Linked DNA regions of Nothobranchius furzeri. The protein of the gene in region 2 purifies or fractionates together with the protein of the main gene of each other region. This does not show direct contact. Links are inferred from orthologs where the notes say so. Each region holds a gene or a part of one and is shown on either strand. Other genes may lie near its edges.

Region 1 (3,751 bases), on a different chromosome or scaffold from region 2:
TGTTTTAATGGCTGGCTGTAGCCGGCCTCATCTGCACCACTTATCCTGCTGTGACCCTTTTAAGTAAACATTTTTTCCAGTAAAAGTACATTGCATCATTTCTCACAAAACAGTTTAAACACTGCACTTTTATTTTGGAACATGAGGCCAAAATCAGCCTTACGTCTGGTGTTTTATTTTCTGTCAGTTTGTGTAAAAAGTAACAAAAGGAGAAAAAAGGTTTTCATGCAGTCATTGACAAAAAGAAACTACCTTAAATTATTTGTATTATATATATATAATGATGTAATTCTCTCTTTTGGGAGTGCATGCTGACTTTTATGTGAAATTGTGAATTTTTTCAGCTGCGATGTAAAAACCAATGCTCGACCCACGGCAGGTTTGATTTCTGCAGGTTCTTGGCTTATTAGTTTTGTTTTACACTCCGTTGTAGTGTGTCTTTGGCATACGTGTGTTGCTTTATGATGCTGGATTTTTTTTTTAAATTTGGTAAATATTTGGTTAATACTTATATTTAGAATAAATCAACTATTAAAAACAGAGTAATGCACACTGAAGATGTTTAGAAAAATAATGGTTTTGACTCCTTTGCAAATTACCTGTAAATTTAGTATTTTTTTTAGATGTGTAACTATAAAGCTTGTGTGATGTAGTCATTTACACAAAAATACGTTTTCTATTTTTAAGAAGCATACATAAATATTTATTTTAGTAAAACGTGATGGAAAAATATGAGCCGACTTCCCCACTCATACACGCCTACTGTCACTTTAAATAAAGTAGGTGGGGCCAGGTGTCGCTTAACCAATGAGCGTCCTTTGCCGGGTTTAAATAGCTCTGTGTGTCAATCATAAGCCCCTCCCCCTCCCGTCTCAGTCCCCACCACTGCTCTGCTCCTCAATCGCCATATTGGGTGCTGAGGTTTCTCTGCAGTTTCTCTCTGAGCGGAGCGAAACTGACAGCGTCCTCAGTTCCTGTGCACTTTGTTTTGATGATTCTCGGAGACCATCTTCGACTCCAGAGCCCCGCAGCAGTTAACGTCTTCCACTTCGACGTATGCATGGCATAGGTGTAGAGCTGCGTCGGATCTTTCCCCCGTGACCTGGAGATACCGCTGTTGTTGTTTTTTATTTGTATTTTTTTTTCAGCGACGTGTTTTTCTTATGACAGCTGGACGCTCCCGGCTGACTGAAAATAGCGTGTTTATTGGGGGGAGGGGAAATGTCTAATGTTCGAGTTTCAAACGGGAGTCCGACGTTGGAGCGGACGGAGGCCCGGGTGTCGGAGCACCCGAAGCCGTCTGCCTGCAGAAGTCTGTTCGGCCCGGTGGATCACGAAGAGTTAAAGAAGGATTTTAACGAACACATGCGGGAGTTCAAAGAGGCTGCCGCTGCCAAGTGGGGCTTCGACTTCGCCAGTGACACGCCACTGAGCAACGGCAGGTTCAAATGGGAACTAGTGGATTCCGAGGAGATGCCGGACTTCTACCACCGGCAGCCGCGGAGGGAGAAGGGCGTCTGCCCCAGGAGCACCAGTGTGGATCTAAACGGGAACCATAACTGCGTCCTGGTGGCGTCGAGCGGGGATACCAGCAAGCCCGACGGTCAAACGGAGTGCACCGGGCTGAGGAAGAGACCTGCTAGTCACGGTACTACATTTGCATCTAATCAGGTTTTAGAGCCGGAGCTCGGCTTTCACCCGACAGGAAGCACATCTATAACCCTCTTCTTGTGTTTTTGCTCCGAGTTTCCCTGACAGAATTTCTTTGCTGTTCGCAGAGCCTCCGACCCAAAACAAGAGGTCCCATACCAGCCCAGACGAGGTTAGCTGTCCGAACCTGAGCCACTCAGTAGAACACACACCCAGAAAGCCCAGTCCCAAGAGACAGACGTGAGCCCGAGAGAAAACGGTGAGGCTTAAACTCATCCGTATACAATAACCGCATGTAGCTTCTGTTCCTCAGCTGTGATCTGAGCCACAGCAGGTTATATAACACGTTCTCTCCACATATTATCGAGTAGCTTTAACGGTGCTGCACGCTTATTTTATCTTCAGTAAGTAAAATGCTGGACTCTAGTAACCATTTCAACATTTTATATTCATTTAATCACAATGAGATCAACTCTGCCGAGAGAAAAAGGCTTTAACGTCTCACTGCTGCAGCTTTTCTACTAAACTGTAAACAAGGGCTGAACAACAGTGTAGTAGTAACACGTCAGCAGCCACTGCCCTCGGAGCAGAGCAGAGAAGGGGCTGGTCTCTGAACACACACACGCACGCACGCACACACACACACACGCACGCACGCTGTCCCTGCAGGCAGAGGAGTGTGCTGAGGAGACCCGCAGGTCCGAATTCAAGTAAAGGGAGGAGGGATGGGCACGATGAGATCTTCCTCACAGTGGTTTAGGACCTGTTTAGGCTGCAGATGAGAACACTTACATCAATGTTTCTTTTTAGCACAGAAATTTGAACAATAACCGGGTGTGATTCAATATGAGGATGTTTTTCTGTTCAAAAGTAAATCCTTGAAAGATTTTATTATAAAATATGATGAAAGAACTGCACTAAAAGACAAAATAGCTGTTAGTTTCATAAGTGTGTGTGTGTGTGTGTGTGTGTGTGTGTGTGTAACAGGTCAGTTTAGCTTAACCTTGTTAGTCTTTTTAAAAATAGGAAACTGATAGGGGGTGCACACTTGAAATAAACAGTCTAGTTATGAAAAATAATTAAAGTGAAACTTTTTCCATGAATTGTTAAAAGATGATTTTTCAAAAATGTTAATACTAACCTTTTTTTTTTCTTATTTTTCCCACCTTCTCCACACAGTTCGAGCATTTTTTTTTTTGCGAGGGTGTTGTTTTTTATATGCATCTTTTATTTTATTTTTTTGGAGGCCTGACTGTTTGTTGGCTTTTTGGGGATGAGGATCTGCGCAGCATCAGAAACATATCGGCTCTTCTGAGGACTGAGGAGGACGCTGTTGAAGCACTGAATAGAAACACTAAAGTTGTGGCACTCAATTAAAAATAAGTTACTGCCTCTAACAGCAGTCGATGTAGCAGTGTGCAATTAGGTTTTATTTCCCTTTTTTGCTCGTTTTGTTACTACCTGTGTGTAAATAAATTAATAAAGATGGATATATATATATATAGGTATAAATATGTCTCCATGTGTAGCACATAAGGAACTTAATTCTAAATCCAATCCTTTTTGTAAAAAGTTGTGAATTTTCATTTGACTTGAAGAATTGCAGTGATGGTTTCCAAAATGCTGTTTTTTATTTTTATTTCCAGACTGTGTGACATTTGCCACTGTCCTTAATTGCTACACTTAAAAAGAAAAAATCATGGCTTCTCACCGTTTCTGTAGTGTTCCTTCACTCCGTCAGCTTCCTAATGCAGCAGTGAAGAATGGTACAAATGTAGCTCACGTATCGTAATTTAATTTGTTTTTTCATTTATTACAGCGCCTCCCTGCAAAGGGCTGGACTCGTCTAAACGACGAGGAGATGTAAAAATTCTGTTAAGATTTTCTGATATTTATTTTTTAATCGAGGTGCTTTTAGCATCAGAGTCCTGGAATATTATGAAACAATTTTTTTGAAGTTTTTCTGTGCGCCTCAGCTACGTTTTAATGTTCGAGTGTTTCCTTTGAGCTGTGAGGTACTCGGCTTTGAAGAACAAGAATCAACGTTTTGCTTTCCTTCTGCCCCTAAACCTTAATCTTCTAAAAGGAAAAAGTCTCGTGG
Region 2 (3,751 bases):
TGCACACTCATTTGGCAGAATAAAAGTTTGACAATTATTCATTTGTTCTTTATTGTCACATTTCAGTAACAGTTATAATTAAACAAGTTGTAATTCAACAAATTAAATAAATGACTACAACATTTCCCCCTGTTAAGTGCAGTAGACTGAAATGAATAGCTTTATTTGGAAATATAACATATCTAATTTTTAATGGACTTACATAAAATCTTTCTTCAACATAGACCCCACTAATTAACTGATTAAGTGTTATTTTTATAAAAAGAAGAGAGAAAATGCACAAAGGTAGGAAAGGAAAAGAAAGTGATGAAATAATAGGTTTTGTTAAATGTTCTTCATATAATGAATTAATTGACAAAGTTTTTGCAGGGTGTGACAAAAAACGTTCAAGGTCAAGCTCCTGGGGCTAAGCCCCCCCATATCTCAATCCTAGTGACGTCCATGGTGCAGCACATTCAGGCTCAGGAACTCACCTGTCATCGTCCAACGTTAATCACGACTCTCCATGTGGGTCCGCAGACATTTCTGTACATATTTCTGTAAAAGTTCACAAATACACGAGCAAGCTACAAGGTTTCTACTATTTTCACATAGAAGTCTATTTTGCGATTTTCTAAACACTCTCTAAACCATTAAGTGTGCAATATTCTACACATTTTTCTCAGTAAAATAAATTCATATGTTCACTTTTACGTTTGCTCATAAAACAAAAATATTTTATCGTGATTTTGTATTTCGAAATGTTTGTGCATTGTTTGAAAGCATCTTTTAGTCCCAAGTTTTACTATTTTATCAACAGCTGTGGTTTATTTCAGACATGAGAGGCACGAGCCAAACTGGAAGCACTGGTTTTCACTCCCCGAACAATCATTTACTTTTAAACAGCATGTGGTTTCAAAAACACCTACAAGTGAGTAGCAAATCTGAATAAACTAATTAAGAGGCTGATAAAAAGCTAATGAATGTGTATGGCGGTCTAATTATAAACTGACACATACTGATCTGTTATTTATATTTATATCGAGGTTTCACTGACTAACGAGCAGGAGAAAACAGAGAAAATAGCAAGACGCAACAGGAAAAGGAAATACGAGGATGTCACGTGATCGTACGTTGTCTAGGAAACGCATTCATTGCCTGCCTGATGGACCAATCAGATGCTCGGAGAAGTCAAAGCGCAGCGAATCAGCTTGCAGCGCACGAGGATTTAAACGAAGACAGCGAGTCTTTAGCTGAACTCGTTCGCTCGGCATTACGACTCTTTCACTGCTTGTCGGAACCACGCAGACTTGAAAATGGCTCTTCGAGTGACCAGAGTGAGTCTTTAGTCGGGTCTTACAGCTCTTTATCCGCGTAAACACGCCTAGAAACATGTCGAATGATTAGTATTAGCGTTTAAAATGCTTCCGTGCTTCGGTGTACCTCACCAGTTCAGGCACTGTCCTGCTGAGAGTTCAGAGTCAAACCTGAAGCGGATTTTGTGTTTATAGATGAACGACATGCAGCAGCGGCTAAAGGACTCTTTTGTTTCTCTGCAGACTCGGCTCGGTTCTACCAGAACCGAGCTCGGAGGAGGGAAGGCCTGCATGAACGGGCCCAAGCAGAAGCCTCGAGGCGCGCTTGGTGAGATCGGAAACGTCCCGCTGAACAAAGAGGTTCAGAAAAAGGTGAGAAGTTTTAAATACTCGAGTTTTTATGGTATTAATAATATTCACACGTGAGAACTTCATGCGTCTACTTTAGACTCGATGTGATGAAGTCATTTTCTTTTAAAGCGCTGCTAACATGTAGAGCACATGCTAGCAGACATGCTGCTGTTAACGTGCTATTTAAATAAAGTGGTGGACAGGTAAAGGTTTTTTTTAATCCCATAATAACACGTTCAAGTAGGGGGCGCTGCAGAGCCCCGGTGCCTGGAAGAAGCCATTTTCATGCACACATCCACCTAGAAGGTACTCTTGCATTGGACATGTCACCTTCTTAAAGCCCCGCCCTAGCCTTGGTGACTCACCTGGATGCAGCCTGGCTGCCTCACTAGGGATGCTTACTTTAAAGTGGGTAATCGGATCTGTTTAGCGTACCTGCGTAAACTTGTCAAGACTGTATAATCTTCAGTTTAACTCTAGTGAAGCACCAGGTGATTTAATTTCTCCATGGGGGCTTCAACGACCATATTTGGATTTAGAATGTCAAGATCGATGCTGCAAAGAAGCCTGAAGTTGTACCTAAAGCGGTAAAGGTGGAACAGCCCAAGCCTCCGGTCGTCATTGCTGCTGACCCTGAGCCTGAAGTTCAGGTGAGTCATCTGATTAGTTTAAATCCTGATTCGATCCATGCGCTGACGCACCTGTAAAACGTGTTGAACTTCCTCTGCTCCAGGTGCCGCCTGAACCCACCTCGCCCACTCCGATGGAGACGTCTAGCTGCAAACCCGCTGATCTCTGCCAGGCGTTTTCAGACGTCCTGCTCCACACCGCTGTCAGGGACGTGGATGCGGACGACTATGACAATCCCATGCTCTGCAGTGAATATGTGAAGGACATCTACAAGTATCTCCGTCAGCTGGAGGTTGAGCAGAACGTCAGGCCCACTTACCTACAGGGTCAGGAGGTTACCGGGAATATGAGGGCCATCCTCATCGACTGGCTGGTGCAAGTGAGCCTCAAGTTCCGTCTGCTGCAGGAGACCATGTACATGACCGTTGGAATAATCGATCGCTTTCTTCAGGTAATTCCCACGCTCGTCGTCGGTGGGTAGACGTATCCACGTGTAGAGATTAAAGGTGTTAAATGTGCACGTTCCTGCGTCTCCAACAGGACCATCCAGTCCCCAAGAAGCAGCTGCAGCTAGTGGGCGTGACCGCCATGTTCCTTGCCTCCAAATATGAGGAAATGTATCCTCCGGAGATCTCGGACTTTGCCTATGTGACGGACCGGGCCTACACCACTGCTCAGATCCGGGACATGGAGATGACCATTCTGAGAGAGCTGAAGTTTCAGCTTGGCCGACCACTTCCCCTGCAGTTCCTCAGAAGGGCCTCAAAGATCTATGAGGTTTGTGTCGAGGCTAAAGTCCAGCTGATCTTCAGTGACTTGTCTGCTGACTTCTGCCTTTGGTCCACAGGTAACGGCGGAGCAGCACACTCTAGCCAAATACGTCCTGGAGCTCACCATGATGGACTACGAGATGGTTCATTTCCCTCCTTCTATGGTGGCCAGTGCTGCTCTGGCGTTCACCTTGAAGGTCCTGGAAGCAGGCGAATGGGTTTGTATGCGATTTTTAAAATACTCCTGTGTTACTAAAATGGGTTCATCACAGGCTAATGGCTACTCCGACTGATGCAACGAACATTAAAGAGCAAGTCACCCCCAAATCAACTGTTTTTTCTGATAAACTATATAAATGCGTGTCTAATCGTGCTGCAGACGCATGTAGTCAACAGTTTTGCACTTTAGTGCATTTTAGTTAAAATTTCTGCCTAAAACTGTCAGTGTTGTGCCGTCGTCGGGTAAAAACTCTGCGCTGCATTTGAATTTAAATCTGCCACCGCTATTGGCTACCTAGAATGTTAGCTGGTACCATGAGATGTCACAATGTCGTGTGTGTGTGGCCCTCTCGGTCTGCTAGGTAACAGCATTAGTTGCATTTTTTTAAAACAGGAAGTGTGAGCGGAGTAATACCCTGGTAGGGGGTGACTTGCTCTTTAATATAACTATTTCCACCACTATCTGCTTAATGTAGTTTAGGCATA
Region 3 (3,656 bases), on a different chromosome or scaffold from region 2:
ATCCTCCTGTCCTTCTTGCTGTTGATGGCAAACTGAATCATGGCCATGTAGGAGTATGGAGGTCTCTCTGCTTCGGTACCCTGGACAGCTTCTGCACTGGCGTATGGACCATGTGGCTGCAAATAGTCACAGAAAAAACACAAAGAGAATCATCTATATGTGCAACAATCATAGAGGATATTTTATCCAACTGAAGAAGAAGAAAGTATCATTTCTACAGCGCCTCTCAAGATAAAAATCACGAGGCGCTTCACAAAAACAAAAAATGTAAAAATAGAAAAAAGCATTTAGAAGATGTTTAAAAATATATTAAAATGAGCAAAAATAGACAATTGTGATTAAAAAAATGTTAAGAAAGAGAGAGAGTGAACAGGAAAGAGGGAAATCAGTGGATCCTGAGGAAGGTGGAATAGGTGAGGAGAGCAGAATAAAGAGAGAGAGGTGAAGAAGGTCATACAAAAGCCAGCTTGAACAGGTGAGTCTTCAGCTGCTTTTTAAAGGAGACCCCTGAGTCCACTGATCTCAGGCTCAGGGGGAGAGAGGTCCAGAGTCTGGGGGCCACAGCAGCAGATGATCTGTCACCTTTGACCTTTAGCCTGGTGCTGCACAACCAGTAGGCTTTGATCACTGGACCTCAGGGACCTGCTGGGGGTGTAGGGACTAAGAAGATCACCAATGTAAGATGGTGCTTGTCCATGTAAGGCCCTATAGACCAGAACCAGGATCTTGAAATGAACCCTGAAGTTGACTGGCAGCCAGTGAAGCTGGAGGAGAAGCGGGGTGATGTGGGTGTGTTTGGAGGACTTGGTCAGAAGCCGAGCACAGGCGTTCTGAACCACCTGTAGACGGTTCAGGGAGGTTCTGCTCAGACACGTGAAAAGAGAGTTACAGTAGTCTAAGCGTGAGGAGATGAAGGTGTGGAGCACAGTCTCAAGTTCAGAGCGGGACAGAATGGGACTCAGCTTAGCAATGTTCCTGAGATGGAAGAAGGAAGAGCGAACAAGAGAACTGACATGAGAATCCAGGGTGAGAGCTGGGTCAAAGGTCACGCCAAGATTCCTGACGGAAGGTTTGGTGTGAGAAGTAAGCTGACCAAGAGAGTCTCTGACTTTGGGAACCAGCTTGTCTGGGGCACAGATGAGGATCTCAGTCTTATCTTCATTCAGCTGTAGAAAGCTCCCAGCCATCCAGGTTTGATAGAGTCTAAGCAGGTGTGTAACAGCTGCAGCTTAGACATCTCATGGGGCTTAAAGGAGATGTACAGTTGGATGTCATCTGCATAAAGATGGTAGGAGATTCCTTTGAAGGAGCTCAGGATGTGCTGAAGAGGAAGCAGATAGAGGAGGAAGAGCAGAGGCCCCAGCACAGAACCTTGTGGGACACCATGGGTAAGGGAGGTGGTGGAGGACCTAAACTTGGAGACGACCACAGAAAAGGAGCGCTCAGAGAGATAAGAGAACCACTCCAGAGCAGTTCCTGATAGGCCTACCCAGTCTCTCAGCCTCTCCAGTAGCAGGTGATGGTCAACAGTGTCAAAGGCTGCAGTCAGGTCCAGCAGGACCAGAACAGAACAGTCCCCTGCATCGCTGTGAGTCAGAAGGTCATTAGAGACCCTAAGAAGTGCTGTTTCAGTAGAATGAGCTCTACGAAAACCTGACTGGAAGCTATCATAGATGTTATGTTCATCAAGAGCAGCTGTGAGTTGTTTAGCCACAACCTTTTCCAAGATCTTGGAGATGAACGGAAGTTTAGAGATGGGTCTGAAGCTGCTCCAACTGTAGCCCAGAGTGATGAATTTTTACTGAGAAATACTAAAATATTTAATTTCAAATCCAACTATCTAATTAAAAAAATCATATTTAACCTCCATTCTAATTGTAGCAACCAAATAAGCCTGTAAATCAGTCAGTAGTTCGTCTGTGGTTTTAGGGGACACTCGGGAGTCCTGTCAGAACTCAGTAGGCCATCTGCATCACACAAAAAGAAGCAAGACTGACCTGTAAATTCTGGGATGTTGGAATCGATTTGTCTGTCGTCTGTTCTTCAGAATCCGGCTCTAGGGCACAGGAGTCCATCTTGCCCAGCCACTGGATGTTTGTGAGGCTGTCGTCTAACGGGCTGCAACTCGCTTCTTTAATCACTGATGAAAGAGAAGAGTGCTTAAATGGACAATGATATGGGATGGTGAGATATCAGAGACAGCATAAACTGTCATACCGTATTTACAGCCAGATTGATGATCAGCTTCAGTGTTGAATGTGGCTTCCGAGCTTACAGATTGTCCAACTGGACTCCTCGTAGGAACAGATTCTTCTCTGGCAAATTCTTGACAAGAAGATCCATTGTCCCGGCTTCCACTCTCACTCAGAAGGATGAACTTGCTTGGACCCTGGTCACCACACTCTTTACTTTTTGCAGTAATGGCATCAATAACAACCTGAAGATCCACGTCTTTGGGGATGAAAACCACCTGAGTGTCAGACATGGATGAATGACCCATGATGTGGACACCATCTAGGAGGCACTGACTGGCAGCTGGTTTTGAGGATTCTTTGGAGCTTGAAGCAGCAGATGGAGAGCGTGCGTCAGCTGCTTCATTTTGCTGAAAAGGTAGTTTTCTTCTTTTCAGGATAAGGGGTCTCCTCGGACTCCTTCTCATGGTCAAATCATTGAAACGTCCATCCAAATTCACTGGTAAGCTGTGGGAAAAATAAAAAAAATATATATATATAAAAATAAAAAATAAAGAATATTTTAGGAACACATTTTTTTTTCTTTACCTTGCTTGCATCATATCAGAAAACCGTTGTAACGCAAATCACCGGTGGAAAGTTAAGTTGTTATTTTACGTGTCTACGTATCTATTAATATTAAAGCACACGATTAATTCATGTTATATTAAAACACGCTGTGGGTTACGCTATTAAGACAAAAAGTTCCGACTAACGTATCCGTGTTACGGCTCAGTGGTTATCCGAGGTTTTATTCCTTGGCAACTGGAGAATTCAGGCGTTAAATTCACACCGGAAGTATAATTTAACGTTTATTCACAATGACATGGCTAACCGTTGTATACGTTGTAAATAGTATTTCAGGTTATGACACAATGACACGTTTGAAGCTTAAATTGGGCCCTAACAACACCATGTCTCATCTAAGAAAATGGGTTTTCAGCTTAAAAGCCCGATGCTACCACTGCTGCTGGTGGTAGCTTCTGATTGCTAACAGCAAAGCTACTAAATAAAGCCAGACCTTCATATTTCTTGTTTCAGACGGCTCCGCTGGTTTGAACTCCAACGCTGATGTTGTGGAGCACTTCGCTCGTATTACATTTTTGATAAAAGATATGTGACAGCTACCAAGCCTTTATTACAGGTTGTTTACGTGTCAAGTCAGAAACCGTTTTTGAATTTTGGCGCTGTGGGTGGTGTCCCCCTTCATGTTGATCACGTGGTAAAAACGGGCCAATGGGAACAAGAAGCTCAACGGACAAGAAGTACTCTAGGGGGCGCTAAATCACCCACATGCGGCTGCGCAAGTCGGAGAAAAGACGACAAAGAAGAAACCCGGGAAGTAGAAACAAAAGATGATTTCATGAATTGACTAACTGTTGTTTGTTTTTAACTTTGTGGGACGATTTGAATATAGTGTCCAAA

The links. Proteins that work in one complex are often made in the same cells at the same time.
Region 1: the proteins of ccnb1 (region 2) and cdkn1bb purify together in Homo sapiens (affinity purification with mass spectrometry; 5 studies listed by BioGRID and IntAct, with this or other methods). This does not show direct contact. The link is inferred for Nothobranchius furzeri from reciprocal best matches to the Homo sapiens genes CCNB1 and CDKN1B.
Region 3: the proteins of ccnb1 (region 2) and foxm1 purify together in Homo sapiens (affinity purification with western blotting; 4 studies listed by BioGRID, with this or other methods). This does not show direct contact. The link is inferred for Nothobranchius furzeri from reciprocal best matches to the Homo sapiens genes CCNB1 and FOXM1.

The regions. Positions count from the first base shown.
Region 1 is NC_091744.1:57,772,442-57,776,192, forward strand, and holds cdkn1bb (cyclin dependent kinase inhibitor 1Bb), read left to right. Parts: upstream 1-955; 5' UTR 956-1,221; coding exon 1,222-1,648; intron 1,649-1,778; coding exon 1,779-1,894; 3' UTR 1,895-1,909; intron 1,910-2,829; 3' UTR 2,830-3,154; downstream 3,155-3,751. UniProt on the Homo sapiens protein: Important regulator of cell cycle progression. Inhibits the kinase activity of CDK2 bound to cyclin A, but has little inhibitory activity on CDK2 bound to SPDYA. Involved in G1 arrest. Potent inhibitor of cyclin E- and cyclin A-CDK2 complexes.
Region 2 is NC_091746.1:73,742,820-73,746,570, reverse strand, and holds the start of ccnb1 (G2/mitotic-specific cyclin-B1), read left to right. Parts: upstream 1-1,183; 5' UTR 1,184-1,295; coding exon 1,296-1,316; intron 1,317-1,538; coding exon 1,539-1,667; intron 1,668-2,185; coding exon 2,186-2,296; intron 2,297-2,379; coding exon 2,380-2,727; intron 2,728-2,816; coding exon 2,817-3,053; intron 3,054-3,123; coding exon 3,124-3,264; intron 3,265-3,751. UniProt on the Homo sapiens protein: Essential for the control of the cell cycle at the G2/M (mitosis) transition.
Region 3 is NC_091741.1:41,405,772-41,409,427, forward strand, and holds the start of foxm1 (forkhead box protein M1), read right to left. Parts: upstream 2,910-3,656; 5' UTR 2,795-2,909; coding exon 2,781-2,794; intron 2,700-2,780; coding exon 2,218-2,699; intron 2,141-2,217; coding exon 1,998-2,140; intron 117-1,997; coding exon 1-116. UniProt on the Homo sapiens protein: Transcription factor regulating the expression of cell cycle genes essential for DNA replication and mitosis. Plays a role in the control of cell proliferation. Also plays a role in DNA break repair, participating in the DNA damage checkpoint response.